Elephas maximus indicus: one gene and its partners. The protein of the gene in region 1 purifies or fractionates together with the protein of each later gene. This does not show direct contact. Links are inferred from orthologs where the notes say so. Each region holds a gene or a part of one and is shown in the gene's direction. Other genes may lie near its edges. The genes, in order: SPAST, NUP43, NUP107 and NUP160.

Region 1 (7,778 bases):
TCAAAGCCTCAATGGAAAAGCTTGTGGGTGGGAAGAGACACACGCTATGACAAAAACACTTATGAGAGTAAATGGAGAAATTTAGGTGTTCTTTCCAGAATATAGGAATTGAGTTTATCTGACAAGATGGGGAGGAGTGTCTCAAGGATAAAGGAAACTTTCTGAAACCACCCTTGAAAATAAACAATTCCTTTTATGTCTCCCAGCATTCACTCAGTGCTAACAGTCCGCATTATTCTGCTCTCCGTGCACACAGTATGCGCTGGCCACTGTAAATATAGAAATTTAGTACATATACACCCAAGTATTTTTTTTAGAGTGCTGATTGAATACATCCTCTGATAATCTAGATTGCTATCCTAGGGCTTTCATTTAAAATTCTCTGTTAACTGATTCTGTTTATTAGTCCATAGCACCATACCTTCAAAAATCAAGTTGAAGAGGTCAGGTAACAATTTATATTCTTACACCTACTACTATTTCAAAACCATGAGCTCATTCACAGATACATTTACTGAAGTAACAAAACCTCTCTAAACTAGATAATCTCAAACTGGTGACACAGTTTTGTTTTTAATTTGTTTAGTAATTTTGAGCCAGTGACTCCCAGCCCATAGATTTCACATAAAAAATTACAATTCTGATTTATCTTGAAAAATTAGAAAAATCTGGCAACATTAGGTCCCACATTCCTGAAAGGCACAAATCAGCTGGAACTGACTAACAGCTACCCTGATTACCTGGGGTATACTCCTCTCCAGTTTCTCACAGTTTCCGTCATTCACAACATATATGTTATTGCTGTTGAAGTTTTTTGTGACCATTGCATTAGACTGTAAAACTGGTTTTGTTCCCTACTGTAATCCTGGCACCTTCTTCATTGGCTGACACATTGTCTGTGCTTAGTACACATTAGCTGAACGAAATGGTTGAATAATTTGTGCCACAAAGTGGCCTCAATGTAGAAAAATAACTTGTTCACAATTTTAAGTTGTTAACACAACCATCGGATAATAATCTCCTAATTGTTACTCTCCTCCTCCCATTCCTCATTCCCAACTATGTCTTTTAATTTTTTTCTCTATTTTACATTTTCTTTTTCAAAAGCAGCTCTCAGCTCTAGGTGTGACATTTTATTTCACTTTTCTTTTTTTAATTGAAAAGAGGTCTTTAATATCTGCCATTGGTTCCTATATCAAATAATCTAACATTTCTCAAGCTGAAAATTCAGGGAAATACTTAGGGGCTGAAATATCAAAAAACAAAACAAGACAAAAAACACCACATTTGGTGCTAGGTGCTTTTGGATATAAATTAATGGGTTAAAGCGATAAAGTGACTGAATGTCCGAGTTAGCACAGAACTCAGCTACTCCTTTTTGTCCTGGTGAAACTAGTCCAGATCCCATTCAAGATTAAGTGTCCTGGAAGCTCTTACCATCTAGAAACTGGGAGGCTGTCACACAGCAGGTTAAACGGTTAAGAAGGTTAGGATCTTCAGACCAGGCTGATTATAAGGCCAAGGTGATGCTAAGGCACTATTTTTCTTAAGACAAATTTAGGAAGATTTTAATTCAGAAAATGGATTTGAGGCTGGGATATAATTCTAAAGGGCAGCAGACGTGAACTGAGAGCGCTGAAAATTGAGATCTCAGTAGAGCCTGAAATCTAGAGTGGCATTGCAGGTATAGTGGCAGAAACAGAAATAATATTTATTGAGTCCTGTTATGTTGCAGGTACTATGCTAGTTTTAGGTACCTTATATCATTTTGTAATTCTTATTCCATTTATTTTACAGAGAAAGGAGTTAAAAAACTTGCTCCTATAACACAACTAGTAAGCATGAGGTATTTGTAAACTTCACATTGTCAACAATGGGGGAATTGTATCACTTAGGATTACTTAGTTTTAGGCAACAGGAAACTATTATGGCTAACTTCAACAGAGAAAGAGAGAAAAAAGGGAGATAGAGATGGGTCTATGGAGAGGGTAAGAGAGAAAGGAAGGGAGAGAACGAGGGAGGAAGGACAGGAAGAGAGAGGGAGAGGAAGAGAAAGAGAATATAGTTTATTGGATAGGTAGCATAACCAAGTGACCATGAACCCAGGCAGCTCTGAGTATCTCAATAGGATGAACTGATGGGCCAGCTCTTTTAGAGTACATAATTCCAACTACCTGTTATCCCAGTTTGTTTTCACCCCAGGTTCCAGTTCCCAGTTGCCCTGGTCAAGTTGTGCTGACTTCCACTATATTTTGTGTGGTCTTTTCCATCACCAAAGTTAACACTTGTCTACTATCTTGTTAATGATTTCCTCTCCATACTCTCGCCTCCCTCGCAACCATCAAAGATTATTTCTTTCTGTGTGGAAACATGTTCGTATTTTTTTATAATAGTGGTGTCATGCAATATTCATTCCTTTGTGATTGACTTATTTCACTCATTATAATGCCTTCCAGATTCATCCATGTTGTGAGATGTTTTGCGGATTCATCATTGTCCTTTATTGTTGTGTAGTGTTCCATTGTTTGTATGTACTATAATTTATCTATTCATTAGTTGAAGGACACTTAAGCTGTTTCCATCTTTTTGCTATTGTGAATGATGCTGCAATGAACATGGACGTGCATACATCTATTCGTGTGATAGCTCTTATTTCTCTAGGAGATATTCCTAAAAGTGGGATTACTGAATCATATGGTATTCCTATTTCTAGCTTCTTAAGGAAGTGCCATATTGTTTTCCACAATGGTTGTATCATTTTACATTCCCACGAGCAGTGTGTGAGGGTTCCAATCTACTCACAAACAGCATTTGTTGTTTTTTTTTTTTTCTCAATGCCATTCTTTCAGGAGTGAGACGGTACCTTATTGTGGTTTTGATTTGCATCTCTCTACTTGCTAATGATTGCTAGCATCTTTTCATGTATTTGTTAGCTGCCTGAATGTCCTCTTTGGTGAAGTATCTGTTTATGTCCTTTGCCCATTTTGTGGTTGGGTTGCTTATCTTTTTATTGTTTAGTTGTTAAAGTTTTCTGTATATTTTGGAGATTAAACCTTTATCAGATATGTCACTGCCAAAGATTTTTTTCCCAGTCTGTAGGTACTCTTTTTACTATCTTGGAAAAGTAGTTTGATGAGCATAGGTATTTAAGTTTTAGGAGACACAGTCATCTAGTTTATCTTCTGGAGTTTGTGCATTTTTAGTTATGCTTGATATGCCATTTATACCATAAATTAGGGCCCCTAGTGTTGTCCCTATGCTTTCATGAACTTTATAATTTTAGGTTTTACTTTTAGGTGTTTAATCTATTTTGAGTTCTTTTTTTGTGTACGGGGTGAGGTATGGGTTCTGTTTCATTTTTCTGCAAATAGATATCCAGTTTTGCCAGCACCCTTTGTTGAAGAGACTATCTCTTCTGCCTTTAATGAACTTCAACCCTTTGTCAAAGATCAGGAGTCCATAGATGGATGGATTTATTTCTATGGTCTTGATTCTGTTCCATTGGTCTATGCATCTGTTACTGTACCAGTACCAGACTGGTTTTACTACTGCAGCTGTATACTAGGTTCTGAGATCAGGTAGTGTGAGGCCTCCTACTTCATTGTTTTTCAGTAGTGTTTTACCTATCTGGGGGGATTTTCTTTACCATATAAAGCTAATTAGTTTTCCATCTTGTTAAAGAACATTGTTGAAATTTGGATCAGGATTGCATTGTAGCTACAGTATGGACATTTTCACAAGTCCTATTCGTGAGCACGATTATGCTTTTCTATTATTAAGGTCTCTTTTGTTTCCTTGCACTAATGTTTTATAGTTTTCTTTTTATGAGTCTTTTACATCCCGAGTTATGTTTATTCCTAAGTATTCCATCTTTGGGGGCGCTATTATAAATGTTATCCTTTTCCTGATTTCCTTCTCTGAGTTCTCATTAGTGTAGAAAAACCTGGGTGATTTTTTATGTGATCTTATACCCGCCACTTTGCTGAATCCTTCTATTAGTTCCAGTAGCTTTCTTGTGGATTATCTGGGATTTTCTATATACGGGTTGCTTTTTAAATGGAACTCAGAGCAATCACCCTTTGGAGAAGACTTGAGTCAACTGGCAGAAAATGACGAAAGAAACGTTAAGTACAGAAAACCTAAACATTGTGAGATATGAGCCCTGGGAACTGGCCGAGGGACCCTGAGAACAGTCGCCCCTCCCCTGGGCTGATTGCCAATGTTCCTGGCTATGAAGGAGTCAGCAGCCTCGGTGCCCGAAGTCGGCAGGCTCAGAACTGCACGCTATGACCGGCAGTTACTCTGGGAACTGGCGCCGCTCACGCGCACTAGAACCCAGGTCGACGAAGATGGCGCTTTAGAAGGCCGCCCAAGAAATACAGGGAAAGACGTGCGCGTGCGCGCCAGTGAAAGACACGAGAGGAGGGGCGTGCGCGTGCGCGCCAGGGAGAGACACGGAGGAAGAGACGTGCGCGTGCGCGCAGCTGTAGCACTGAGCCACCAGGCACTCCGGAAGACAGAGGGAGGTAGGGGTGGAGCAACTGCTGGTGTCAGACTCCCGCATGAAAATGGCTTGTTCTTCTGACTGAAGAAGCCGGCGGGCAACGCGTGGAGCTGCCGAGCTCTGGGGCCAGCGGGCGCGCGGGGGTTTGTGGCCATCGCCGTGGCCGCCGCCGTGGCTTGGTCATCGTGGTTCTGCGGGAGGCGGGTTATGGCGGCGGCGGCAGTAGGAGCTGTGGATGAATTCTCCGGGTGGACGACGGAAGAAGAAAGGCTCCGGCGGCCCCAGCAGCCCGGTGCCTCCCAGGCCTCCGCCCCCCTGCTCGGTGCCCGCCCCTTCCGGCGCCGCGCGGGCCTCTTCGCCCGGGTCGCCGCATAAGCGGAACCTGTACTACTTCTCTTACCCGCTGTTGGTGGGCTTCGCCCTGTTGCGCTTGGTAGCTTTCCACTTGGGGCTCCTCTTCGTGTGGCTCTGCCAGCGCTTCTCCCGCGCCCTCATGGCCGCCAAGAGGAGCTCCCGGGCCGCGCCGGCGTCAGCCCCGGCCTCGCCCCCGGTGCCTGTGTCAGGCGGTGAGGCTGACCACGTTCGAGCCTTTCATAAGCAGGCCTTCGAGTACATCTCCATTGCCCTGCGCATCGACGAGGACGAGAAAGGTATGGTGACAGGGGGCCAAGGGGAAGGGGAAGCGCCGGGAAGCAAGGGGGTGGGGTCGCAGAGGGAGGGTAACACCTGCGTCCGTTTGCTGCGGGAGGGGGCGATGCATCCCCGGAACTGTGCCATTAGCTTTTCACGTGTTGTGTCATTTAATTCTTATAATCAATAATCCTATACGGTAAAGGTGCTGTTGCTGTCACCATTTTATAGGTGAAGAAACTGAGGCTTTATATATGTATGGGTAAAAGCGGGTCATTCCAGACCTATGCTAATAGCTAATGAACATTAGACGGATTCATATTACGTTTTAAAAATCCCTCTTTTCATTCTACCTCCAGTATGCTGAGATGTTGCTTTTCCTTCCAACTCCCAAGGAAACCCACTTTTCCACCATGTCTCAGTTAGGTACTCACTTGTCTTATCCATTAGTGAAAAAGGAGCAATCTACCGTTCATTTTTAGTGTCCGTCTACATTACCAATTCCAGAAACTGTTCCAGGATTTCAGTCTTGTTGAAACCGGTTTCCTTGGTGGGCCTAGTAGTGAAGAGTAGGGTATAGGGGAAGGGGGGGTACTCATCTTGGTTTTGGAATGTGTTGTGGATTGAATTGTGTCCTTCCAAAATATGTTGTAAATTCTAATCTCTATGCCTCTGGTTATAATACCATTTGGGAATGTGTTGTTTTTGTTGTGTTAATGAGGCAGGGTTAGTTTAGAGTGTTTTTTGAGTCAATCTGTTATGACATATAAAAGAGATTAAGCAAGTGAGCAAGCAGAGATGGGGGAAGATTGATGGCAAGCCACATAGAGTTCTCCAAGACACTGGGAAACGAGGTGAAGAGATAAGAACCTTCCCCCAGAGCCCACGCAGAGAGAAAGCATTCCCCTAGAGCCAGTGCCCTAAATTCAGACTTACAGCCTCCTAAAATGTGAGAAAATAAATTTCTGTTTGTTAAAGCCATCCAGTTGTATTTCTGTTACAGCAGCACTAGATAGCTGGGAATTTAAGGGCAGAGTGAAGGTTAAGAGACTTGAACAATAGAGATGCATTTAGGAAAAGAATACTATGGGTTTATTATGGTAGGAAGTTTTTTGTTAATGGTTCTGTTCTCCACCATCTCTTAGGAACATCCAGGATCTCTTGGGGAGGATGAAGAGGGGTACCATGATCCCTTCCTTAGAGAAAACCCCTTTGCCATTGAGTCAATTCCGACTCACAGCAACCCTATAGGATAGAGTAGAATTGCACCATAGAGTTTCCAAGGAGCGCCTGGTGGATTTGAACTACTGACCTTTTGGTTAGCAACCCTTGCTGTTTTTATTACAGTATCATATTACAGTAGGGTCCTCTGAAGTTTACTAATCTAGACCAAAGACATTTTAGAATAGAGGGAATGTGTTTTCGAGTGGATTATTTTAATTAGTATATTTAGGAAAAGAATGCCAGCATATTCAGGGAACTCTTAGTTAACACTGGTTGATGGGAGTTAGAAGTAGGGATGAAAGGCGAGATCAAGGACAATCTAGGTATTGCAATCTTGGGCTCTTATATTTAAAGAAAAAGCAGTCCCATGTGAAGAATAAATGACCAATAGAATGCAGACCTTGGTTTCATGCTGATGACTTATCTACGAGTTTCACTGTTAAATCCTCTTCAAAATATTTTTTAAGTATAAATATTTTCAGTGATGTGTGTATAGGGTCGCTATGAGTCGGAATTGACTCAACGGCATCGGGTTTTGGTGTTCCACATATTTCACTCTTTTTTGACTGATAATGTTTCTATCATGGATGTCAGAATGGATATGACAACTCTTTGGTTTGAATTCTACAACTGGTACCGTCCTCTGCCAAATTAAATTAGTTCAAACTGAAACAGATGAGTAATATATTCATTTTCCTTTAAAACTGAGTTTATTTTTTCATGTTCTCTTCTCCTTTTTAGCATGTTGAAAATTTTTGTATTTGAGCCTTAATCTAGTTATTAAAAGAGAAAGTTCACATGTGAGGTCTATTTACCTCTCAGCCATCCTTGACAACACAAAATTTTATTCCAAGAGAATTAAATTTTCTCCCTCTCTTATTTTATCAGAGTATACTGTGTATGAAATAAATGGGCTAGGCCATCTTCAAAAACTTTGTAACTGGTAAACCATTAGGCTTTAAGTTAGGGCCAGTAATGCCGCTGCTAACCGAAAGTTTGGTGATTTGAACTTTTACCCAGCAGCTCTGGGGGAGAAAGAGCTGGTTATCTATTCCTATAAAAAGTACAGCTTAGAAAATCTTATGGGGCAGTTCTACTCTGTCACATGCGGCCGCTATAAGTTTGAAGTGACTCAACAGCACCTAACAACAACGTCTGCATTACCATCCCTTTGCAGCTTAACTGCTAAATGTACTGAAAGCCACTGTGCAATTTCAGACTGTAGCAGTATTAGTTAATTGAAACATTTGGTGCCTTGAAATGATAAAAACCAAATTAGATCTTAATAAAGTAGTGTATAAATGTTGTGATTTATATGGCAACTGTTTATTTGGAATTCTAGTTGTACTCAACTTGGGCACTGAATTTTCATGAAGGCCTTAATTTGTCTGAAACCAAACTATTTTAAATAGAGAAGACG
Region 2 (7,417 bases), on another chromosome or scaffold:
TGACATTATTATGGACTGTGGTCCTTCCGGACTCTGGAACAGACGACGATACTAAATTTCAATTTAAAAAAAGAAAGTGACACAGCACTTATCCCACCCTAAAATTACCGCCAGAGAAAGGAATAAAACAACTAAAGAAAATGGTATAAAGAACTTCCACACAAGGTTTTCTAAAGCATGTGGTATCCCTCACATACAATCGTGTGCTGGGGTCCCAGGACCACAAGTCTCTCAGAAACAGCATCCCCTGGTTATCTCTTCCTCCGCCCCCCACAAGCCTTCTCCCAACATCTGCAATGGCAATACTCTCATCTTCCTTTCCCTCCCTCTGCCGGTATCAGACAGTGGCATCTCCCTCCAGAGGAAAAACCGGAGGGCGGGGGAGGCAAAATAAGAAAGCAAGCTTGCAGCGAGGTTGATTATAAAGGAGGAAGGTGAGAAAACGCGGGAGACGAGGGTGGGGCCCCGGAGCTCTAGCCCAGTCTCTAGGCGGCCTGGCCACCACCACCCGACCGCGAGGGCACGCCCCTCGCCCGCCAGACCCGGACCAGAGGCTGCGGATTCGAGTGACAGCCCCACCACCTGTGCGGCACTCCCTTCCCCACACCCGCAGGGAGACAACTGCCCCTGCCCACCAGCAGCGGTGCTTTGCTCTTTCTCTCCCCTTCCCCTCCACGTCGCCGATGAGTGACAGGTCCCGGGGGAGGTGATCTCAAACGCACGTCGTTCGGGACTACCGGTGCAAGCCTGCGCCGAAGCCCTCCGACAAGCGCTGGGGGTTAGACAGGTTAGACAGAAGGTTCCAGCTCGGCCCGAGGGGACCTGGTCCAGGCCCGGCCTGCCCTAGTTGCCCCACGCCGGGCGGGGGTGGCACTTACTGCGGAGGTTGTGGATTAGCTCCGAGTGGCTGGCGCCGCCGGATTTCCAGGCCATCGCTAAGCACACCCGGAGCAGGTACAGAACCACCTTCAGGGCGGCGACGGTGCCCAGCAGCTTCCCCAGGAGTGAGACCACTTCCCAAACGGTGACCGCCCCGCTCGCGTCCCCGCTGTGGCCGCCGCTGCTACTGCCGTCGCCGCTCCTGCCGCCACTGCGCGCTCCCGGCATGCCCCGCGGCACGCATGCGCCCTGTGACGCCGCGCGGCCCGGGGTGCGGCCGGGTGGGGCCGGGGGCGGGCGTGGCGGCGTACCCGCGCGCTTGTTGCTGCAGTGGCTGCTCGGGCACCGCAAGGAGAGCGAGCTGAGTCAGCACCGCCGCCGCGGCTGCATGCCCCTTCCTGAGACCTCGGGCTGCGCGCTGCCCCTTCCCGGGGTTCTCCCTGCGGCCACACCGGCTGGGCCTGGGCGCGGTCGGTCGCGTGCCGGGCCGCGGCTGCGGTTACGCAGCGCGGAGGCGGGATGGCCGGGCTGATCTGTGCCGCCTTGTCTGGCGGATCTGGCTTCGCCGCTGCGGGTGGCTCTGCGGTCCCCTCCGGGTCAGCTGTTGCGAGCGGCGGCTTTGCTCCTATAGCTGCCCAGATTGTTAGATGGTGGGCTTCCTCCGTCCCGTTTAGGCCGGTTAGAGTAAGAGCTCCCTTCGAGGGAGCCTGAATAATCACAGCAGAACCCGAGGACGCCAGCCTCTGGCTTTGTGATAAAAACATCACTGGTTAGCAGAGACTTTGGGACCCTGGTTTGTTCTCAGTCCTAAAGCACACATTCAGAGTGGAATGGGGAGGAGGTGATCTGCTCCTTAAAATAATAAAAACGTGAAGATCTACAATTGGTTAAAAATACCTCAGTATCCTATGGTGAATGTGTTATTTTCTCAATACAAGTGTGCGCTTCAGCTAATGATGCCTCACAAATTCCACTGTCAGATTGGGCGCTGGCTTTATTGCTATGAGCTCTGCAGATGATGAGTAAGAGACTGACGGGGAACGTTGCCTGTTGCATCCAAATTGCTGACTCCTGATCAGAGCTGAGTCTGACAATTCAGGCATCATTTAGTTCAGTAGTCTTTTAAGGAAAGAAGCAAAGCTATGTCAAGACATCCTATGCTGCTGCAGCAGCAGCAACTTCCAAATTCTAGTTTTTAACAGACTGTCAAGTGCGGCATGCCGCCCACTTCCAATCCACAATATACCTTGTCTATTTTTAAGGATCCAGTGACATAAATGAAACCACACTCATAAGTGTTTTCCACTTCAACATTAGGAGTAAAAGTGTTAGTTTGGGACTCCAATTAATTTAGTAGTTTTCCATTTCATCTTTCTGCAGCTTCCTGATGGTCTTCTGGTTGGGGAAAACAAAAAAAATGTGACGTTCTTAAGAGGAACGTGATAATTCTCTAAAGCCGACCAAGACTGACTGCATTTGTATGTGATGCTACCATAAGCTGCAACTGTGAAATAGGACTGCCAATATCAGATACAAGTAACAACAGTAACAACATTTTAGAGAAACAACCAACACACAGTTATAAATACCTATAGCAAAGGAGATAAAAAGATGGACAACTCATACCTCTTGTATGCAGTAGAATCTATATTCTAGTCCAAGAGAGATGTATCAAAAGAAAACTATCAATAGAGGTCAAAGTATAAGTGCCATTAGTGGTCTAGTATCAAGCACTATGTATTTAGCTTATCATGACTGGGGTAATCAGGAAAAAATACACGAAGGAACTGATCTGTAAGGGATGTGCTGGATTCTGAGGAAAGAGGAATGGAAGGAATATTAAAGGTAAAACCAAAAGTACAAGGAGCCCTGGTGGTGCTGTGGTTAAGCACCGGGGCTGCTAGGGTTGGTGTCACCCAGTGGTGTAACTCATGATGTCATTCCCCACCCGTCGCCACGGTCCTCCTCCCACCAGACCATGTAGAACCCTTAGTATTGTTTTTTATACTAATGTTATTTGTAAATTGTAATTCCTGTATATCACCCCTTCTTTTCCTTTAATTACTACTTCTTACTCAAAGTTATTGATATAGGTTCACAAATACTAATAACACGATATTATAGCTAAAACACCAGAAAATTTGACAAAATTAGCAACTATAAAAACACCGACAGCGGTGAAAACAACAGTGCATGTTTATAGCTCCTGCAGACAAAACCAAGTGACTTGAAGCATCAATGTGTAATAATGACAGCTTTGGCCAGAGCACATTGGAAGGTTCAAAAAGTAAATTAACATAGAGTTTTAGCCTTGTAGGTATATTAATACATGCAAGCTGAGCTTATGAGAAATGTTTTTGTTATAACTAACTACAGGGATATCTTTATAGATAGTCATTTTGGTGTCACCCACCTCTGACAGTGTCACCCAGTGCCATCTGCACCCCCACCAACTCCCCCTAGTGAAGCCACTGCACTGGGCTGCTAACCAAAAGGTTGGCAATTTGAACCCACCAGCCATTCCACAGGAGGAAAAACTTGGAGATCTGCTTCTGTAATGATTAAAATAATAATTAAAAAAAAGACAAACCTGTTGCCATTGAGTCATTCCAACTCATAGCGACCATATAGCCTGGGAAACCCTGTGGGCCAGTTCTACTCTGTCCTATAGGGTCACTATAAGCCAAAATTGATCGTATGGCAACAGGTCTTTTTTTGTTTGTTTTGCTTTTCCTATTAACCAAAAGCATAGAAGAAAGAACCTATAGTGCTGATTCCTGGGCTGTTGTTAGATATCGCCAGTGCATTCTTTATTATATACACAAATGAACTGGCCAAAGTTACATAGCTGGGCAATGAGCATCAAAACTAGATCTGGAGTCTTCAGAATTCCAACTACAGGCTCTGACAATGTGTATTAACAACTTTGAAGCAAATGAAAAGAGGAAGAGGTTTAGCATAATAAGTTAGTATATTAGCGGAGGTACTTCTATGAGAACTTAAGGATTTTGAATCTTTTTTTGTATGCAGTGAAGTGCAACTGAATGCTTAGGTGTCCCTAGAAGGTGGTGTCTCCTGCATTGATTTTGTTTTACAATATAAATTTGTTTTATATTGCGCAATTATTGCACAAATACATTCTCTCGGTGTCTCTATACCGATGTTGCAGGTTAGGAGAAGGTGTAACACAAGGATGAAGGCACTCCTGCGTCTTTGTCAGAGGTCGGTGAAGATGGGCATTCCCACTTCAATCAGCCTGGGGGACAGGCTTGGCAACACAATCCGCGCAAGAGAATTGGCTCTCCGCAGCCACCGTCTCCTCTTAAGGCCCCAGCCAATCAGAGTCCCCAGAGGAAGGGGCGGGACTGAGAGCCGCGCGCGGTGCTTTTTCCTGTGTCTGCTGCGGTTGCTTTCAGCATGAAGGCGATGTGTGCTAAGTTTGTGTCTCAGAAAATCAGCAAAACCCGCTGGCGACCGGTGCCTCCGGGGAGTTTGCAGACAGCGGAGACCTTCGCTACGGGCTCTTGCGACAACGAGGTACCCCCGCTCCCGGGGCAGGGAGTTCCTGCCTCCCTCCCGTCTCTGGTCTTGGGAACCGCGCCCCTGGTCGCTGGCGCGCGAACCTTCTACTGGCCCTTCTCGTCCTTCCTTAACCCCCTCCCAGTCCCGGCCTCAGTTGCTTTGTAGCTCAGAGCCAGCGCCAGCGATGGTGTGCCTGAGCCTCGTATCGCCTTGTGTGTGAAAACCTTACCATACCTTTGGTCTGAGGTGGTTTTGAAGCAAAGTTGCATGAAGCCAGTAAAAACGTTAATTTCTGAAGTCGGCGTTTATTTAGTTTCGAGATAAAACTTTTTGCTTTACAGGAAAATTATGTTTCATTGTGGTCAATTGGAGATTTTGGAAACTTGGACTCTGATGGAGGGTTTGAAGGAGACCATCAGTTACTCTGTGATATCAGACACGATGGTGATGTAATGGATTTACAGGTAAGCCTGTGTAGTATCCACAAACTAACTTAAAACAACTGAGAGTAATATACTTAGAGGTGCAGAGGACCTTGAAATCTGTCTAAACTTGACAGGAAACGTTCCTCTGTGGGTTAAATGATTTGCCCAACATCACATAGCCACTTAGTGACAGAATCAGGATTTAGGAAAGTGATGTGGATTTAGTCATAGTTTTTTGTTTTTTTTTTTAATGTCCATTTACTATGATGCCAAGCACTGTGTTGGGAGATTTACGTAATAAATTAGTGTAATTCTAATTTCATGGCTGTAAATCAGTGTTGTTCTCTTTGTTTCACCAGTGAGAAAACTGAGACCAAGAAGATCTGTTGAGCATATGCTTTGTGACAAACAAAATAGAAAGCAGCTTACATGGTTTTGTTCTATGAATCCAACCTCCTACGGAGGAATTAGTAGTTCTATTTTAAAAATTAGAGAACTTTCTTAATTTGGCTCAAGTCTCAAAACCAGTGGTGGTACTGCCTCAAATTCTAATCGTGGGACTGGAATTGAGTATTCAAATTCAGGTCTGTACGGCATCTAAGTCCCTCCATTTTATTCTATAGAAAACTTTTTCACCGTGGGAATGATATTTTTCTAAAGCTTTATTATAGTGGTCCAAAACTCAGTCAATTACAGGTTAAGGAGTTTAGAAAAAGGTTGTTGTTCGTTATTTATTTTGCATGCAAATACCTTTCTTTGTTACAGTAGGTTGGCTTTTCAAATCAGTAATCATGTTTTGTTTGCTTGGTATTTACAGGCTTTTTACTTTTTTAAAATTGTAATAGGATTTACTTTTGATTGAGTTAAGCAAATGGGCATCATTCCTACAAATATTTTTGAATGTATAATAAGCAGGATTTTTCTACTTAGTTTTTGGACCAGGAAAGAATTGTAGCTGCTTCCTCAACAGGATGTGTGACAATTTTCCTTTACCATCAGAATAACCAGGTAAAGAATGCTTTGTTTGAAAATTGAATTTGTATTTTAATTATGTTTAGGAAGACTGTGCTTAGAATTACACAAATAATAAAATTTATGGTTTGAAAACATGAAGGGGGAAAATATCACTGTTATATTACCAAACTTTGAGTGGATTAATTTTAGAACCAGGGAAGGTTCCTAGATGGCGCAAACAATTTGTACTCCACAGCTAACCTAAAGGTTTGCGGCTCGAACCTGTTTAGTAGGACCATGGAAAAAAGGCCTATCAATCTGCTTCCATTAAGAGTACAGCAAAAGAAAACCCTATGGAGCAATTCTGCTCTGTAACATGTGGGTTGTTGTGGGTCAGAATTGACTTGACGCTAACAGGTTTGATTTTTTTATTGAAATTGGATATTCCTTACCTTGTTAAATAAATTCCTTTAGTGTAAAAATAATAATACTGGCAGGCGATTTTACTGCAATTCTGCTTTTTAAAGTTCTTTTCTAGAAAGAAAGAGCACCTTCTAGCTCAGATGCCATGAAGGAGGATGCTAACAGCTACTTTGCTTCTGTGGATAAAGAACCCAGGTTTTATTAGAAGAGAAGATATGCTGTGTGAAGACTTGACATTTTCTCAATGCCTTTCTTGTTTGCTAACCCCAAGAGTGCTGACCTTCAGAGCACAGTGGGGAGGGCAGTTTTTAAAAATAGCCCCACTTGCTGTAACACAGTTTTAAGTTGCTAGAACAGAGTGCTTATGTAGGTTTTGGGATTAATAAAGGTCACTTTGTTAATAGGTGTGCCTAGTAAACATGAGACTCATATTGTTAAGTATTTTTTTTAATGGAGTTGTTTAGGAAGAGCTGTAGAAATTTATTTTTTAGATATAGATTAATTCCCTTAAGAATTGTTAAAGAGTTGCTTTTGAACACATAATTAATACCAAAAAACTATATCTTCAGTGAGATGAATGTGGGACATTATTAAACATTCTTTTTGAATCTAATTTTGTATATACAGAGCTTTGATGAAAGTAATTATTAGACTTTAGTGTACTGAAACACAAAGGAGAGAGGAAAGAATTACTCTTTTTCTAGAAGGGTGTAAAGCAGAATCCAAAAATACTCTGGTTGGAGAAGAGTGTTCGTTTTTAAGAACTTTGCTTTGGTTAATGGTATCCTCATATCTTATACCTAGACTCTGTCTGTCAGCCATCAGTGGACAACAGCTCACTGCCACACTGGTCCAGGCAGTCCTTCCTATAGCAGCGCACCATGTACAGGTGTAGCGTGCAACAACCCAGAAATTGTCACTGTTGGTGAAGATGGCAGAATAAATCTCTTCAGAGCTGATCACAAGGAAGCTGTGAGAACTATAGGTAAGCAAAATCATTATATTTCTTTCTCCGTCACATAAGTGAACACGATGCTAGGCGTTTGAGAGATATTAAAATATACAAGGCAGGATCTCTTTATCAAGGCAGTATTTTGATAAGGCTCATATGAATGAGTAGAATAACATGATAACATGACTGCAGAGGAGAGAGAAGTCTTTTTATTAATTTTTTTTGCCTGGAAGGGATTATCAGTAAAGCATCAGGGAATAAG
Region 3 (8,332 bases), on another chromosome or scaffold:
TAGGAGATGCGTGTTGAAGTATTTAGGAGTAAAGCGTCATGATGTCTGCAACTAACTTTCAAATGATTCTGCAGAAAAGAGAGAGAGAATACAAGCACGAATGCCGATCTGAGGAAACAGATAGTGAATGGTGATTCTAGGTGAAGAATATATGTATGTTTACTGAATTATTTTTGCAGCTTTCCTATAGGCTTGGAATTTGTCAAAATAAAAAGTTTGGAAGGAAAAAAAGTAATGGTTTTGATTCCTTCTGCTGCTGGAGGCAGCATTGCTGGAAATCAGACAGTTGAGGTTTGAGTACCTTTGATACAGCTATTTCCTGGCCTTTAGCTGCCTGGGGAACTGTCCTTTCCCAACCCTTTGTGTCAGCTTCTTAATAGTTCTGTGAACTCCTGACACGCTTCCAGTAAACTCCCTTTTGCTTAAGTTAACCACAGTGAATTTCAGTTATTGCAACCAAGAATTCTGAATATAAAACATGTATACAATATATACCACACAAGGATTTCATTCCACATAATTTTAAGGCAATCAAATGGATATATTCTAAAATGTTTGGGGGCAGCACTGTGTTCCTGCCTACTAATGAAAAACGTCAAAAGTGAACCCCAGTGCATTTTTCAACAAGTTTCCTGTTTTTTGAATATGAACTGAATGTATGGCTAATCCTTTGCCCAAAGCAGCTCCTTATGTGCCTTATGGTCAATCATTTCAACTATACCTTATACAAATAAAACACACTGGAATTCAATTGCCAAGGGATGTGTGGCAAGAACCTGAACTACCGGCTCACACTTTGAGTAAACCTGCTGAAGTACTAACAAAAATCATTTAGGACCACGTCTCACTTTCCATAAAAGAACAAGTGCACTGTTTATTGCACAGGAAAATTAGGAGGCAGAGAGAATGAGAGTGCACCAGGGTGTGACTCATCAAGTAGATTACTGATTGCTGTTGTTGTTAGGAGCCATCAACTTGAATCCGACTCATAATGACCCTATAAGTACAGCAGAACAAAACACTGCCTGGTCTTGCACTATCCTCACAATCTTTGCTGTTTGAGCCCACTGTTGCAGCCACTGTGTCAATCCATCTCGTTGAGGGCCTTCCTCTTTTTCGTTGACCCTCTACCAAGCATAATGTCCTTCTCCAGGGACTGGTCCCTTCTAATGTGTCTAAAGTGAGATGAAGTTTCACCATCCTCCCTTCTAAAGGAGCATTCTGGCTGTACTTTTTCCAAGACAGATTTGTTCATTCTTCTGGTACTCCATGGGATGTTCAATATTCTTCACCAACCAACACCATAATTCAAATCCATCAATTCTTCTTCAGTCTTCCTTATTCATTGTCCAGCTTTCACAAGCATACAAGGCGATTGAAAATACTATGGCTTGGGTCAGGCATACCATAGCCCTCAAAGTGCCATCTCTGCTTTTCAACACTTTAAAGAGGTCTTTTGCAACAAATTTGCCCATTGCAATGCAGAGAATACCAGGAAGATGTTTACTTGTGTATTATGGACTATGCAAAGGCATCCAATGGTGTGGATCATAACATATTATGGATAACATTGCAAAGAATGGGAATTCCAGAACACTTAATTGTGTTCATGAGGAACCTGTACGTAGATCAAGAGGCATTAGTTCAAACAGAACAAGAGGATACTGCGTGGTTTAAAGTCAGGAAAGGTGTGCATCAGGATTGTATCCTTTCACCATACTTATACAGTCTGTATACTGGGCAAATAATCTGAGAAGCTGGACTATATCAAAAAGAACGGGGCATCAGGATTGGAAGAAGATTCATTAACAACCCATGATATGCAGATGACACGACCCTGCTTGCTGAAAGGGAACAGGACTTGAAGCACCTCCTGATGAAAGATATAAGACTACAGCCTTCAGTATGGATTACATCTCAACATAAACAAAACAAAAATCCTCACAACTGGACCAATAAGCAACATTATGATAAAAGGAGAAAAGGCTGAAATTGTCAAGGATTTCATTTTACTTGGCTCCACAATCAACACCCATGGAAGCAGCAGTCAGGAAATCAAACAGCACATTGCATTGGGCAAATCCAGTGCAAAAGACTGCTTTAAAGTGTTAAAAAGCAAAGATGTCTCCTTAAAGACTAAGGTGCACCTGACCCAAGCCACGATATTTTCAGTCACCTCATATGCATGAGGACAATGATTAAGGAAGACCAAAGAAGAATTGATGCCTTTGAGTTATGGTATTGGCAAAGAATGTTGAATATAACATGGACTGCCAAAAGAGCAAACAAATCTGTTTTGGAAGAAGTACAGCCAGAATGCTCCTAAAAAGCAAGGATGGCGAGACTATGTCTCACATACCTTGGACATATTATCCAAGAGGGATTAGTTCCTGGAGAAGGACATCATGCTTGGTAAAGTAGAGGGTCAGCGAAAAAGAGGAAGATCTTCAATGAGATGGATTGACACAATATTTGCAACAATGGGCTCAAGCATAACAATTGTGAAGATGGCACAGCACCAGGCAGTGTTTTGTTCTGTTGTACACAGGGTTGCTTTGAGTCGGAACCAACTCGATGGCACCTAATGATAACAACTTACATGGGTGTTGATGGTGGATCCAAATAAAATGAAATCCTTGACAACTTCAATCTTTTTCTCCATTTATCATGATGTTGCTTATTGATCCAGTTGTATTTTTGTTTTATGTTGAGGTGTAATCCAGCTGAAGGCTGTAGTCTTTGATCTTCTTCAGTAAGTGCTTCAAGTCCTCTTCCCTTTCAGCAAGGAAGGTTGTGTCAATTGCATATCACAGGTTGTTAATAAGTCTTCCTTCAGTCCTGATGCCGTCTTCTTCTAGTCCGGCTTCTCAGATTATTTGCTCAGCATACAGACTGAATAGGTCTGGTGAAAGGATACAACCCTGACACACAACCTTCCTGATTTTAAGCCACACAGTATCCCCTTGTTCTGTTTGAAGGAATGTCACTTAGTCTATGTATAGGTTCCTCATGAACACAATTTATTCTGGAATTCCCATTCTTCGCAATGTTATCCATAATTTGTTATGACCCACACAGTCGAATGTCTTTGCATAGTCAATAAAACCCAGGTAAACATCTTTCTGGTAGTCTCTGCTTTCAGCCAAGATCCATCTAACATCAGCAATGATATCCCTTGTGTCACATCCTCTTCTGAATCTGACTTGAATTTCTGGCAGTTCCCTGTCGATGTACTGCTGCAGCCGCTTTTGAATGCTCTTCAGCAAAATTCTGCTTGCACGTAATATTAATGATATTATTCAATAATTTCCACATTGTATTGGATTGCCTTTCTTTGGAATGGGCACAAATATGGATCTATTACAGTTGACTGGCCAAGGAGCCGTCTTCCATATTTCCTGGCATAGATAAGTGAGTGCTTCCAGCATTACATTCATTTGTTAAAACATCTCAATTAGTACTCTGTCAGTTCCTGAAGACGAGTTTTTTTTTTTTGCCAATACTTTCAGTGCAGCTTGAACTTCAGTACCATTGGTTCTTGATCATATGCTACCTCTGGAAATGACTGGACGTCAAACAATTGTTTTTGGTACAATCACTGTGTGTATTCCTTCCATCTTCTTTTGATGTTTCCTGCATTGTTCAATGTTTTTGCCCATAGAAGCCTTCAATATTTCAACCCAATAGGGGGAAATTAACATTTCAGTGATCTACCCTGTGCAGTGTAAATTTGCCATCTTCCTTTTTAATCCTCACAACAACTCTGTAATAAAGGTGTTATCTCCATCTACTGATGAGGAATACTCCAGAGGGTTCAAGCCTATATTACCAACTAACCAATCCACTGCCATTCAGTCAGTAGGAATCATAGCGACCCTATAGGACAGAGTAGAAGTGCCCCACAGGGTTTCTGAGGGGACATCAAAGCCACCTTTATTCAAAACGCCACGGTATTCAAAACATGGAAAGGCCTTCCTGGGAATGATGGCTTCCCAGAATTAGAATGTAAATACTGTTAAAACAAGAGTCATTATTAAGCCAATAATGGAAATTGATTGAGTTTACTTAATACACGATTTTCAACTAGGGAGTTTCAAAGCTGAGAAATGAGAAAACTTCCAAAGACTCTTCTACCCCATCTTATCAACATTGCCATGGAAAAAGGTACAGAGCTGATAAACAATTTGTGGTCAGGAAATTTCATACAGCATTGTCTTGATGAACAATTAAAATAATTACTAATGTATCCTAAAATATAACTCTAGTCTGACCTTTGACGTCTGTTTCCTGAAACTGAATTCTTCAAAACAACACAATGCCCAAGGCAAATTGGTCTTACTTTAATGGTTTACCTAAACCATTGTTTGACTCAAAGGTGACTTTTAGAAACCTATTTTTTCAAGGCTCCAGGTTCAAAAGAAGATCTCAAAGCAATGGCTTGGGTGTGTCACCTCAACTCCATGGACCCCAGAAATCTGGATTTCAGAATTAAATCTGTTCCTCAATGTCTAAGGTGAAACTTCAATAGATCCGTTCGAGACCAGAATATACTTTTTGGCTGGAAGGCAAATAGAGAGCAATACTAACACTTTCATGCTGCTTCTCTTCATAACAAGGAAAAAACACCAAGTAAAAGACAAATAGTAATTATGGAAAACAACTAAGAAACTGTAGGGGGTTACACCACAATTCAAACAAGGTGAGTGGAGTTGAGAGAGACAGGGACCCCTGCGGGGTAGGAAGATCTCCAACGTCTGAATTCCAAGTCCTGGCTCATTCTGACCGAGAATACCAGAAAATGGCTTCATATTTTCTTATACAAGCAGTGTACGTCGACATGCTTCCCAACATGATAACCCAGCCCTTGGACTACTCCCACAAACATCAGTCAGGCGAAGTGGCGGCTACAAGTAACGGCCAAGCCTGGTGAGGCCCCGCCCCTCCCCGGCCTGGTCAGGTCCCGCTCGAGTCCAAAACTGTCATGCCTTTGCGCCTGCGCCAGCTGGGTCTGCGGCGGTAGACGGAACAAGTCGCGCATGCGCTAGATGGAGTTTTTGCCTTTCTCCTCCCACTTATTTCCTCTGGGGATGGGTCAGCGTGGGTATGCTTCCGGGTCCGAGGATTTGCTTCCGGAGAGCGGGAAGGCTGAAACGCGGTGGCTAAACTAGAACCAAGGTTGCAAGTTTTTTGGAGGAGAGGGCTGTAGCCATGGACAGGTCAGTTCACATGGTGACAACCGAGCCCAGAGATTTGCCCCTTCTGTCTATTGGCAGAACGAAATAGGTGAAACCCGACTCAGGAAGCCCAAGAGGTCCCGGTTGCTTCCCCCAGGACTCTTCCCGGACTGGGAGACTTGCAGCTGACGGAGGAAAGGCCTCTGGGTGTGGGTTGGGGGATGGAGAGTACGGGTAATAATAATCCTCTGCTTTCCTACCGGGGCCCTGCGACCTATTCGGCGTTTTGGCGCCACATCATTTTCTGCTCTTGGGGTGGGCAAGGTAAGTAGCGGCTGCAGATTCGAGATGCTAAGTGACCTGCCGGAGATCGCAAAGCCAGTCAGTGACAAATTGGAATCTCAGCCCAGAATTTGATTCCAAATCCCAGCAGATGGTTATTGAGTTCCTTCTATGAGCCAGCACTGTGCTGGCCGCTGGCGACAAAGATGAGTTAATCAAGGTCCTTTGCCTCGGGGGATTCTTTGTGTATCGAGGGAGACTACTAAGCAGTGGTCAGGCTCTCTGCTGCTAACCAAAAGGGCAGTGGTTCAAACCCACCAGCTGCTGTGCAGGAGAAAGATGGGGCAGTCTGGTTCTCTAAATATTGCAGCTTTGGAAACCTCATGGGGCACTTCTGCCCTGCCCTCCAGGATTGCTATGATTGGAAATCAACTCGCTGGCAATGGGTTTTAACTACACAGTATAAAGTGATAAATGTTTTGTAATGCACGCTCGTTGACGTAAATGAGGGAAGCATAGTCTCCCTGTCAAGGGAGGTAGCAGGAAGGCCTCTCAAAAGAGGTAGCTTTCAAATTAGTCTTTGAATAATAGTTGTTGTTAGGTGCCATAGATTAGATGCCAGCTCATAGCGATCCTGTGTACAACAGAATGCAACACTGCCTGGTCCTGCGCCATCCTCACCATCTTTGCTATGTTTGAGCCCATTGTTGAAGCCACTGTCAGTCCATCTTATTGAGAGTCTTCCTCTTTTTCACAGACCCTCTACTTTACCAAGCATGATGTCCTTCTCCAGGGACTGATCCCTCCTGATGACATATCCAGAGTATGTGAGACAAAGTCTCACCATCTTCGCTTCTAAGGAACTTTCTGGCTGTGCTTTTTCTAAGACAGATTTGTTCTGGTCAAAATTACCCATTGCCGTTGAGTCTCTTCGAACTCGACGACCCTATAGGACAGAGTAGAACTGCCCCACAGGGTTTCCAAGGAGTGGCTGGTGGATTCAAACTGCTGACCTTCTGGTTAGTAGGATAGCTCATAACCACTGTGCCACCAGGGTAAATAGAAGAACCAAATTTTAAACCTGAATCTGTGTGTCTCCATTGCTGGAGTTCTTAACCTCAGGCTGCTTGTAGGCAGGTAAGTGTTCACCAGGTGGACAAGAGGGCAAAAGTAGACCTCTGTAAAAGGGACAGCATGTACAAAGATGTGAGAGTATGAAGGTGCTTGCTCTGTGTACCTGAATGGTCACATGCAGTGTATGTTTGTATGGAGTAATGTTTGGTGCTCAGACTGGATTGGTAAGCTGGAGTCAGGTTGTAAATACCGGGCTAAGGAATTTGGACTGGATTCTATAAGCCATAAAGAGAGCTATCAGGGTTTTAAGTGGAAAAAAAGCATATTCGATATGTGTTTTAAAAGAGGCCTCATAATCTGTACTGTTTAGCTTCTAGACCTTCAGGTGAGAGTGGTAGGGGTGATCTGGAGCGTTAGAGATTACAGGTAGTGAGAGAGGAGATACTGCGAGAGGAGATGCCTTATTGCACCATATCGAGAAATGACTTGAAGGGTCATTTCTCTCCAGTTCGCTAGCATTCTTTTTTACTTATTTCACCAGCTCAAGCAACACATTTTTCCTTAGTACCCATGCTTTAAGGTACTTTGGAGACTACGGAAGATCCTTTAAGATATGGTCCCTGCAGTTAGAGAACATCTCAATCCAGTAGGGGAAAGATTTACATTCATTAAGCAGTTATCTAAAACAGTGTTATTTTAATACAGATTTCAAGAGTTGAAGTAATTCCCTAGGAGAAAACTTTAATGTAGTAAAAGTCAAAGAAGCCTTTGTGCTGGTAAGATTTGAGTGTGATTGAGGCTTAATCAGAATTTGGCGTGAAGAGGGCGTTCTAAACAAAAAGATCAAAGTCTTGGCTACTGGAATTACCTATACCTTGACTGACTCAAGGTCCTTTATCATGATGTTAAAGTTCTTTCTGAATGCTACATTTTCACTTTATTCACATTTCACTTTATTCACTATTTTAGGAGTGGCTTTGGAGAGATGTTATCCCCTGCGATCCGAGAGGCAGAGGTGACTCGGACTGCACGGAAACAGAGTGCTCAAAAAAGAGTTTTAAGTATCCTTTACATTTTACGCATATTTATAAAAAATTGCAACGTGTTTGGAATCTGGGTTATAGACTTCTTTTTATGAGAGATACTGAACACTAACTGTAATAATAAAATGCTTCAGAAATTAGCTTTGCTCACTCCACAGATACTGTTATTTGGTAATGAGATTAAGATTTATATTTCCCTCAATATAAGACTGTACCATCTTACTGCTGATCGTCATTATGGTTAGCTTCTGCTGACGTTATAGATTTTTTTTTTTTAATTTGGAATTGAACTAAGAACTCATAGTGAACGACAGTGGTCTACTACTGACATCTAAGAATTTAAATGGCAGACAGAATTATTTACTCTTTAAAAAAAGGTAGCTGTAAAATACCTGGTTCTTTAAATATGTATTCCCATGTTTTGTATAGTGCAAATACGGTTAATTCTAACTTAAAGGATCTCTTTTCTACTTGGAAACTTTTCTTAACTTTCCTAACAGTTCGAGCATCGCAAGACGAAAATTGTGCTAACACTACACCAAAAAACCAGGTTATTCCTCGAACTCCCAGCTCATTTCGACAGCCTTGTAAGATTTTTTGCTTTTAAAGCATTGAATGATAACATTAATGATAGCAATTAATATTTATTATACACATAATGAATATATTTGGCTGCAGTATCAATAATAATAATAATGAATGCAGCCACTATTTAATGATTGCAGCTTACTGTGCTTTACATAAATGCACATTAACTGT
Region 4 (8,361 bases), on another chromosome or scaffold:
AGGAGAACTATAGGGTTGTAACTGAAGAGGGAGTTGTTTACACAGAGCAAAGGATACTGCATGGTTTAAAATCAAGAAAGCTGTGTGTCAGGTTTGCATCCTTTCACCATACTTATTCAATCTGTATGCTGAGCAAATAATCCCAGAAGCTGGACTATGTGGAGAAGAATGCGGCATCATGATAGGTTGAAGACAACCTGTGTTACGCAGATGACACAATCTTGCTTGCTGAAAGTGAAGAGGACTTGAAGTACTTACTGATAAAGATCAAAGACTACAGCCTTCAGTACGGATTACACCTCAACATAAAGAAAACAAAAATCCTCACAACTGGACCAATAAGCAAAATCATGATAAATGGAGAAAATATTGAAATTTTCAGGCATTTCATTTTACTTGGATCCATAATCAACACTACCCATGAAGTAGCCGTCAGGAAATAAAACCACGTATTACATTGAACAAATCTGCTGCAAAAGACCTCTTTAAAGTGTTAAAGAGCAAAGACGTCACTCTGAGGACTAAGATGTACTAGACTCAAGCCACGGTATTTTCAACTGCCTCATATGTATGCGAAAGCTGGACAATGAACAAGGAAGACCAAAGAGCTGACACCTTTGGATTGTGGTGTTGAAAAAACGAGCATGTCTGTCTTGGAAGAAACGCAGCCAGAGCGCTCCCTGGAAGTGAGGATGCCAAGACTTCATCTTACGTACTTCGGACATGTTATCAGGAGGGGTCAGTCCCTAGAGAATGACATCATGCTTGGGAAAGTAGAAGATCAGCAAAAAAGAAGACGACCCGCAACAAGACAGACTGACACAATGACTACAACAATGGGCTCAAACACAATGATTATGAGGATGTCGCAGGACCGGGTAGTGTTTCATTCTGTTGTACATATGGGTGCTATGAGTTGGAACTAACTAAACGGCACCTGACAACAACTGAAGAGATGGAGCCCTGGTGGTGCAGTGGTTAAGAGCTTGGCTGCTAACCAAAAGGTCGGCAGTTTAAATGCCCCAGCCACTCCTTAGAAACCCTACAAGGGCACTCTACTCTGTTCTATAGAGTCACTATGAGTCAGAATTGACTCCACACAACCAGTTTGTTTTTTGGGTTTTTTTAAATGTCTTTTTTGCTATCAGTATGGTCACATATCCATCACATTGTCTGTCAGTTTGTCATACCATGGTGGCTTGCATGTTGCTGTGATACTGGAAGCTTTCCCACCAGTATTTCAAATACCAGCAGGGTCACCCTTGGTGGACTGCTTCAGTGGAGCTTCCCGACTAAGAGAGATTAGGAAAAAGGACCTGGTGGTCTACTTCTGAAAAAAAAAAAATAGGCCAGTAAAAACTTTATGAATAGCAGTGGAACACTGTCTGATACAGTGCTGGAAGATAAGCCCCTCAAGTTGAAGGCACTCAAAATACGACTGGGGGAGAGCTGCCTCCTCAAAGTGAGTCAACCTTAATGGCGTGGATGGAGTCAAGCTTTTGGGACCTTCGTTTGCTGATGTGGCACAACTCAAAATGAGGAGAAAGAGCTGCAAACATCCATTAATAATCGGAACCTGGAAAGTATGAAGTATGAGTCTAGGAAACGGAACCCATAAACATCAATATCCTAGGCATTAGTGAGCTGAAAAGGACTGGAATTGGCCATTCTGAATCATAAAATCATATTGTCTAGTATGCTTGGGGAAGGGGAATGGTGTCGTGTTCATCATCAAAAAGAACATTTCAAAATCTATCCTGAAGTACAATGCTGTCAGTGATAGGATGGTTTCATACACCTACAAGGAAGACCAGTTAATATGACTATTATTCAAATTTACACACCCACCACTAAGGCCAAAGATGAAGAAACTGAAGATATTTACTGACTTCTGCAGTATGAAATTGATCAAACGTGCAATCAAGATGCATTGATAATTACTGATGATTGGAATGCAAAAGTTGGAAACAAAGATGAAGAATCAGTAGTTGGAAAATATGAACTTGGTGATATAAACAATGCTGGAAATTTCATGACATAATTTTGCAAGACCAATGACTTCTTCATTGCAAATACCTTTTTTCAACAATATAAACAGCAATTACGCACATGGACCTCACCAGATGGAAAATACATGAATCAAATCAACTACATCTGTGGAAAGAGCTGATGAAAAAGTCCAATATCATCAGTCAGAACAAGGCCAGGGGCCAACTGTGGAACACATGAATTGCTCGTATGGAAGTTCAAGTTGAGGCTGAAGAAAATTAGAGCAAGTCCACGAGAGCCGAAGTACGACCTTGAATATGTTCTACCTGAATTTAGAGACCATCTCAAGAAGAGATTTGACGCACTGAACACTAATGACCGAAGACCAGATGAGTTGTGGAATGACATCGAGAACATCATACATGAAGAAAGGTCATTAAAAAGATGGGAAAGAAAGGAAAGACCAAAATGGATGTCAGAGGAGACTCTGAAACTTGTTCTTGAATGTAGAGTAGCTAAAGTGAAAGGAAGAATTGATGAAGTAAAAGAGCTGAACAGTACATTTCAAAGGGTGGCCCAAGACTTTACTTTGCCTTCTGCAAAGACCTGGAGTTAGAAAACCAAAAGGGAAGAACACACTCCGCATTTTTCAACCTTAAAGAACTGAAGACAAAATTCAAGCCTCAAGTTGCAATATTGAAGGATTGTACAGGGATAATATTAAAGAAGGCAGGAAGCATCAAAAGAAGATGAAAAGAATACACAGAGTCACTATACCAAAAAGAATTGGTCAACATCCAACCATTTCAGTAGGTAGCATATTATCAAGAAGCGATGGTACTAAATGAAGAGGTCCAAGCTGCACTGAAGGCATTGGCTCCAAGAATTGATGGAATACCAGTGGAGATGTTTCAACAAACAGATGCAGCACTGCAAGCACTCACTTGTCTCTGCCAAGAAATTTGGAAGGCAGGAAACTGCCAGAAATTCAAGCCGGATTCAGAGGAGGATGTGAAACAAGGACTATCATAGATGATGTCAGATGGGTCATGGCTGAAAGTAGAGAATACCAGAAAGATGTTTACCTGTGTTTTATTGACTATGCAAAGGCATTCAACTGTGTGGATCATAACAAATTATGGATAACATTGTGAAGAATGGGAATTCCAGAACACTTGTGTTTGTGAGGAACCTGTACTTGGACAAAGAGAATAGAACAAGAGGATACTGTGTGGCTTAAAGTCAAGAAAGGTGTGCATATGGGTTGTATTCTTTCACCATACTTATTCAATCTGTATGCTGAGCAAATAATCCCAGGAGCTGGACTATATGAAGAAGAATGTGGCATCAGGATTGGAGGAAGACTTATTAACAACCTACAATATGCAAATGACACAATCTTGCTTGCTGAAAGTGAAGAGGACTTGAAACACTTAATGATGAAGATCAAAGACAACAGCCTTCAGTATGGATTACACCTCTACATAAAACAAAAGTCCTCACAACTGGACCAATAAGCAACATCATGATAAATAAAGGAAACACGGAAGTTGTCAAGGATTTTTACTTAGATGCACAATCAGTGCCCATGGAAACAGCAGTGAGGAATAACACTGAATTGGGTAAATCTACTGCAAAAGACCTCTTTCAAGTGTTAAAAGCAAATACGTCATTTTGAGGACTAAAGTGCACCTGACTTCAGCTATGGTGTTTTCAATTGCCTCATATGCATGTGAAACCTGGACAATGAATAAGGCAGAAGAATTGATGCCTTTCAATTACGGTGTTGTCAAAGAATACTGAATATACCATGGACTGCCAGAAGAACCAACAAGTCTGTCTTGGAAGAACTATAGCCAGCATGCTCCTTGGAAGCAAGAATGGCGAGACTTTGTCTCATATAATTTGAACATGTTATCAAGGAGGCACCAGTCCCAGGAGAAGGACATCATGCTTGGTAAAATAGTGTCAGCGAAAAAGAGGAAGACCCTCAACGAGATGGACTGACACAGTGGCTGCAACAACGGGCTCAAGCATAACAGTGGTTGTGAGAATGGTGCAGGACCAAGCAGTGCTTTGTTATGTTGAACATGGGGGTCCCTACCAGTGGGAACCGATTGGGCGCCTAACAACAACATGGTCATGTATTTTTATCCAGCCTGTTCAGATGCAGATTCAAAGTGGTCAGTTTTACCAGACTATGATGAAGAGAGCTAGAGCTGGCAATGAAGTGATTTAATGGAATTTAAGCAGAGTAAGAACAAAACATCAAGGCAGGGACAGTGAAAATGTGAAGGAACAATGGACTGTAGTTGGAATGGAGGGACCGCTGGATTTGGTGTCTTAGAGGGAATGAGCTGGAAAAAATACATCAGAATAGGACGAATGAAATGGTGAATGACAGAGAAAGGTTTCCGTTTCTGGTAATACAAGGTTAGGGGTGCTTAACAAAGGTTATCACTAAACAAAAAACCTTTTCTCTTTAAAATTAGCAGTTTTCTCATTATTGAGCATCTACTCAGCCCTAGATATGGTGTGTAAACCCACATCTTCTAAACATCCACTATAGATCCTTCTGCGTTGACAGCCAAGAGCGAGATCAGGGGTGGAACAAAAGGCGAACGCCTTTACGCGTGCCAGTGAGCAGCGCTTAGGTAACCGTAACATCAAACAGCAGATTGCAGCTTCAATGTTTAACATGTTATTGAGTTTCATTCTACACGAATACAGTGTCTTGAAAAAATTTCAACAGAAAAAAGGTTCCGTTGTTCGTCACTGCCTCTCCTTCCACCCCAGGTGTCTCCGAAGGGTAAAGAAAGGGAGATCAGGCCGACATTTACAGAAGACACCCTGTGGAGGGTAGACCAATGCCATCCAGTGGATTCTGACTCACAGCGACCCTACAGGACAGAGAAGAACAAAGCTATAGGGTTTCCAAGGCTGTAAGAAGCAGGCTGCTACATCTTTCTCCCGCTGAGCAGCTGGTGGGTTCGAACCAACACATTTCCCTCAGCCCAGCTCTTAACCAGTGCACCACCAGGGCTTCGGAACGGAGGAGGAAGTGACAGCAAACTTGGGATGCGGAGGCGACGCCCACCGGCCCGCCCTCAGCCGACCTCGCTCCTCCTGGCAGCCTCAGCCCCAAAGCCCGCGTCCGCATTTTTAAAAAGGCCACAAGCCCGGCCCCGCCCCCGGCTCTAAGGCCGCTAGGGAAAGAGCAACACTCCGGAGGCACCCTAGCCCGCCACTCGAAGGCTGTCGCAGACCGACTCGACTTCCTTCCCTTTATTCTGCTGACGCCCGCCCTGCCCATCCTCATTCTCTCGCCCACTCTGTGGCAGCCTTGCAATGGAGGAGGGTCCGGCCTGCCTTTCTCCTCTCCGTGCTTCTTCACTTGCTCACGACTCCGCTCACCTCGTCCCCGGAAGTGACGACTGCCGCACGGCCTTGTCCGTATCCCGTCGGGCCTCGCGGCTGCGGCGGGAAGATGGCGGCGGCGGGAGCCATGGAACGGAGCTTTTTGGAGCTAAGCGGAGCCGAGCGCGAAAGGCCGAGGCATTTTCGGGAATTCACGGTCTGCGGCGTTGGTACGGAAGCGACCAGGGAGGCCGCGATCTTCTTCTCTGGCTCCTTCCATGGGGCCCCTGGTATCTTTCCCGTGCCCCAGTTCATTCTTCCGAGTCTGTATGCCTCCGGGCCCTGGATCAGAGCTTTCCCGGTGTCCGGCTTTTTGCTCTTGTCATCCTCTTCTTTCTGCATGCTTGTCTTACCCTTTGCTTCCTCAGCGACCTCAACCCCTGTCATCCCCAGAGAACCACGTGTGCAGGCTGACCGCGCTCCTTTTGCAGGGACTGTGAATGCTGTGGCCGGAGCGGTGAAATACAGTGAGAGCGCGGGAGGCTTCTACTATGTGGAAAGTGCTAAATTATTCTCCGTCACCAGAAACAGGTTCATTCATTGGTGAGTGCCGTGTTCGCCAAACCCCCCTGGAAGGTAGGGTTGTTCGGTGTCTGGATTTTTGTGGCTATTTCCAAAGTGTCATTTTCCGGAATGATAATCGACAGGTAGGAAAGGAAAAAGCCGGTTTTCAATTCATGTCTGAAGCATGGGAAAATTAAGGAGACAGAGAGTTCTAGGAGAGATACAGTCCAGGCAGCACTAAAAGCAGAGGGAATGTAGCTTAGGGAATAAAGCCCCCAAAGACCAGGTTTTAGACATGAACCCGTTATGTTTTATAGTACTTTATACCTTCCTTCATTCTGTAAATATTTGTTGAACTTCAACATGTTAGGCATTATGGTAGATACAAGGATAAAATGGTGAGCAAAAAACAAAACAAACCTGCATTTATACTGTCATATGCATGATCTCATTTAATACTTGAAACGACTGTGAGTTAGATATTGCCTTGTCCGTATTGTAGATAAAGACACTAAGTGCATATAACTGTAATGGATTTATTTACTCCCTGATTAAGTCATTCGTTTAATAGTTATTTGTTGGGCTTTTAATCAGTGCAGGTACTGTGCTAGGCGCTAGAGTTGTAGTAGGGAAAGAACATATATAGACCTAGATTTCATGAGGCAGTTTTGTGGAAGAAAAGAGACATTAACCTAATGACCACTATTATAGGCATATAAATACAAAATTTTGTACCTGCCCCGGAGGAAAAGTACGGGGGCTGTAAGAGGTCAGTGGGAGGACCTAATTTAGATTGGGCTGGGAAGGCCTTTGAGAAAGTCACAGCTAAGCTGTGATCTGAAGGATGGAAGGTTAGTGAGGCATTGGAGAAGGCAAGCCGTCCATCAAGAAGGATCAACATATGCAAAGGCCATGAAGTAGAAAGAACTTGAGAGGTTTGAGGAACTGACCAAAAGCCTGTGTGGCTTGACTACAGTGGGTATAGGAGTAAGTGGTGGGAGAGATGCTGAGGCAGAACTCAGTCAGACCACAAATGATCCTCCTCAAGCCATTTTAAGAATTTTGGATTTTTATCCACAATATATTGAGCAGTCACTGACAGGTTTTTAAAGAGTCACTAACATGATCAAAATGGCATTTTTAAAAGATGAAGTCTAATGTGTGAAAATGGACTTGGGTTGGGTAGGGGTAATAGAAAAGAACAATTTGCTTTTGTAATGGACTAAGTAAGAGATGCTGGTGGCTTGTGTTGTGGGAGTGGCTAAGAAAAGAGAAATAGATGTATGTGTTTGAGATATGTGTGGAAGGTAGATTTGCTAGGTCTTGGTCATAGATTGAATATTGGGGGAAGGGAAGAGCAAGGACAAATCCCAGGTTTCTGATGTGACTAACCAGATACTGCGGGGCGGGGGGTGTTCTTGCCATTTACTGAGATACAGAAAATGAGTTTTGGAGAGAGAGCAATACTTTGGTATGTACCAAATTTGAAGTGCCTGTGCAACAGCCCCATGGAAATGACAAGTACATGTTGGGATTTACGGAGCGGAGGCTCAGAAGAGAGATTCACGTTTTAGATATAATGTGTTAGAAATACAAGTTTCATTTATTTAAGAAATATTTTTGAGTGTCTACTATGTTCCAAAAAATGTTTAGGACTGGGAATATAGCAAAATTCCCACTCTCGTTGAGAGGTAGGCAATAAATAACAACAACAAAACAAGTAGAATAGAGGAAAGCAGGTGAAAGGGAAAGGAAATGCCTACAGGAGTTACCATTTTATATAGGGTGGTTGGGCAGGACCCAGTGATAACCTGGCATTTGAGCAGAGGAAATGAGAATATCTGGGAGGAGAGCATTTCAGGTAGAGCCTTCCAGGAAAGGACAAAAAGTGCAGAGAACCCTGAGACAGGAGCTTCTTGTTGTGTTCAAAGAATGACGAGGGACCAGGAGTCTGCAGCTGAGTGAACAAAGAATAGAATGATAAGAGAGAAGTAGCCAAGGGCCCGATCAGGGCTTTGTCGGTTACCTCAAGGCTTTGGCTTTTCCTTTGAGTGAGATGGGAAGAAGCCATTGGAGGGTTTTCAGTGGAGGAATGATGTGTGTTTTTAAAGGATCATTGTGACTGCTGTGTTGAGAGTAGAGCATAATAGGGGGAGGGTGGAAGCAGAGACCAATTAGGAGGCTGCTGCCACAATCCAGACAAAATGATTGTGGCTTCAACCAAGCGGTAGTAGTCGAAGCAGTGAGAAATGATCAGATTGTGGATAATGTTTTGAAGGAGAATTTGTTAAGTTTACTAATGGATCACCTGTAGGCAGGGACTGATTACCCTGTATGCAAGGTACACGAACAGGCTTAATTGTGCTTACTTATTGCCTGGTAGTGCACAATTTCACCTGGTTTTCACATCAGAGATGTGGTGAAACTCAGGTGAAATTATGTACTCCCGAT

The links.
Region 2: the proteins of SPAST (region 1) and NUP43 purify together in Homo sapiens (affinity purification with mass spectrometry; 3 studies listed by BioGRID and IntAct, counting the BioPlex papers as one, with this or other methods). This does not show direct contact. The link is inferred for Elephas maximus indicus from reciprocal best matches to the Homo sapiens genes SPAST and NUP43.
Region 3: the proteins of SPAST (region 1) and NUP107 purify together in Homo sapiens (affinity purification with mass spectrometry; 3 studies listed by BioGRID and IntAct, counting the BioPlex papers as one, with this or other methods). This does not show direct contact. The link is inferred for Elephas maximus indicus from reciprocal best matches to the Homo sapiens genes SPAST and NUP107.
Region 4: the proteins of SPAST (region 1) and NUP160 purify together in Homo sapiens (affinity purification with mass spectrometry; 3 studies listed by BioGRID and IntAct, with this or other methods). This does not show direct contact. The link is inferred for Elephas maximus indicus from reciprocal best matches to the Homo sapiens genes SPAST and NUP160.

Annotation. Positions count from the first base shown.
Region 1 is NC_064844.1:35,589,923-35,597,700, reverse strand, and holds the start of SPAST (spastin), read left to right. Parts: upstream 1-4,462; 5' UTR 4,463-4,739; coding exon 4,740-5,154; intron 5,155-7,778. UniProt on the Homo sapiens protein: ATP-dependent microtubule severing protein that specifically recognizes and cuts microtubules that are polyglutamylated.
Region 2 is NC_064819.1:221,024,537-221,031,953, reverse strand, and holds the start of NUP43 (nucleoporin Nup43), read left to right. Parts: upstream 1-4,248; 5' UTR 4,249-4,296; coding exon 4,297-4,416; intron 4,417-4,742; coding exon 4,743-4,865; intron 4,866-5,756; coding exon 5,757-5,834; intron 5,835-7,007; coding exon 7,008-7,188; intron 7,189-7,417. Other genes in the region: PCMT1 (protein-L-isoaspartate(D-aspartate) O-methyltransferase), read right to left, coding at 879-1,107. UniProt on the Homo sapiens protein: Component of the Nup107-160 subcomplex of the nuclear pore complex (NPC). The Nup107-160 subcomplex is required for the assembly of a functional NPC.
Region 3 is NC_064822.1:129,493,976-129,502,307, forward strand, and holds the start of NUP107 (nuclear pore complex protein Nup107), read left to right. Parts: upstream 1-5,123; 5' UTR 5,124-5,208; coding exon 5,209-5,216; intron 5,217-7,499; coding exon 7,500-7,591; intron 7,592-8,073; coding exon 8,074-8,160; intron 8,161-8,332. UniProt on the Homo sapiens protein: Plays a role in the nuclear pore complex (NPC) assembly and/or maintenance. Required for the assembly of peripheral proteins into the NPC. May anchor NUP62 to the NPC. Involved in nephrogenesis.
Region 4 is NC_064825.1:103,190,529-103,198,889, reverse strand, and holds the start of NUP160 (nuclear pore complex protein Nup160), read left to right. Parts: upstream 1-5,180; 5' UTR 5,181-5,476; coding exon 5,477-5,576; intron 5,577-5,837; coding exon 5,838-5,949; intron 5,950-8,361. UniProt on the Homo sapiens protein: Functions as a component of the nuclear pore complex (NPC). Involved in poly(A)+ RNA transport.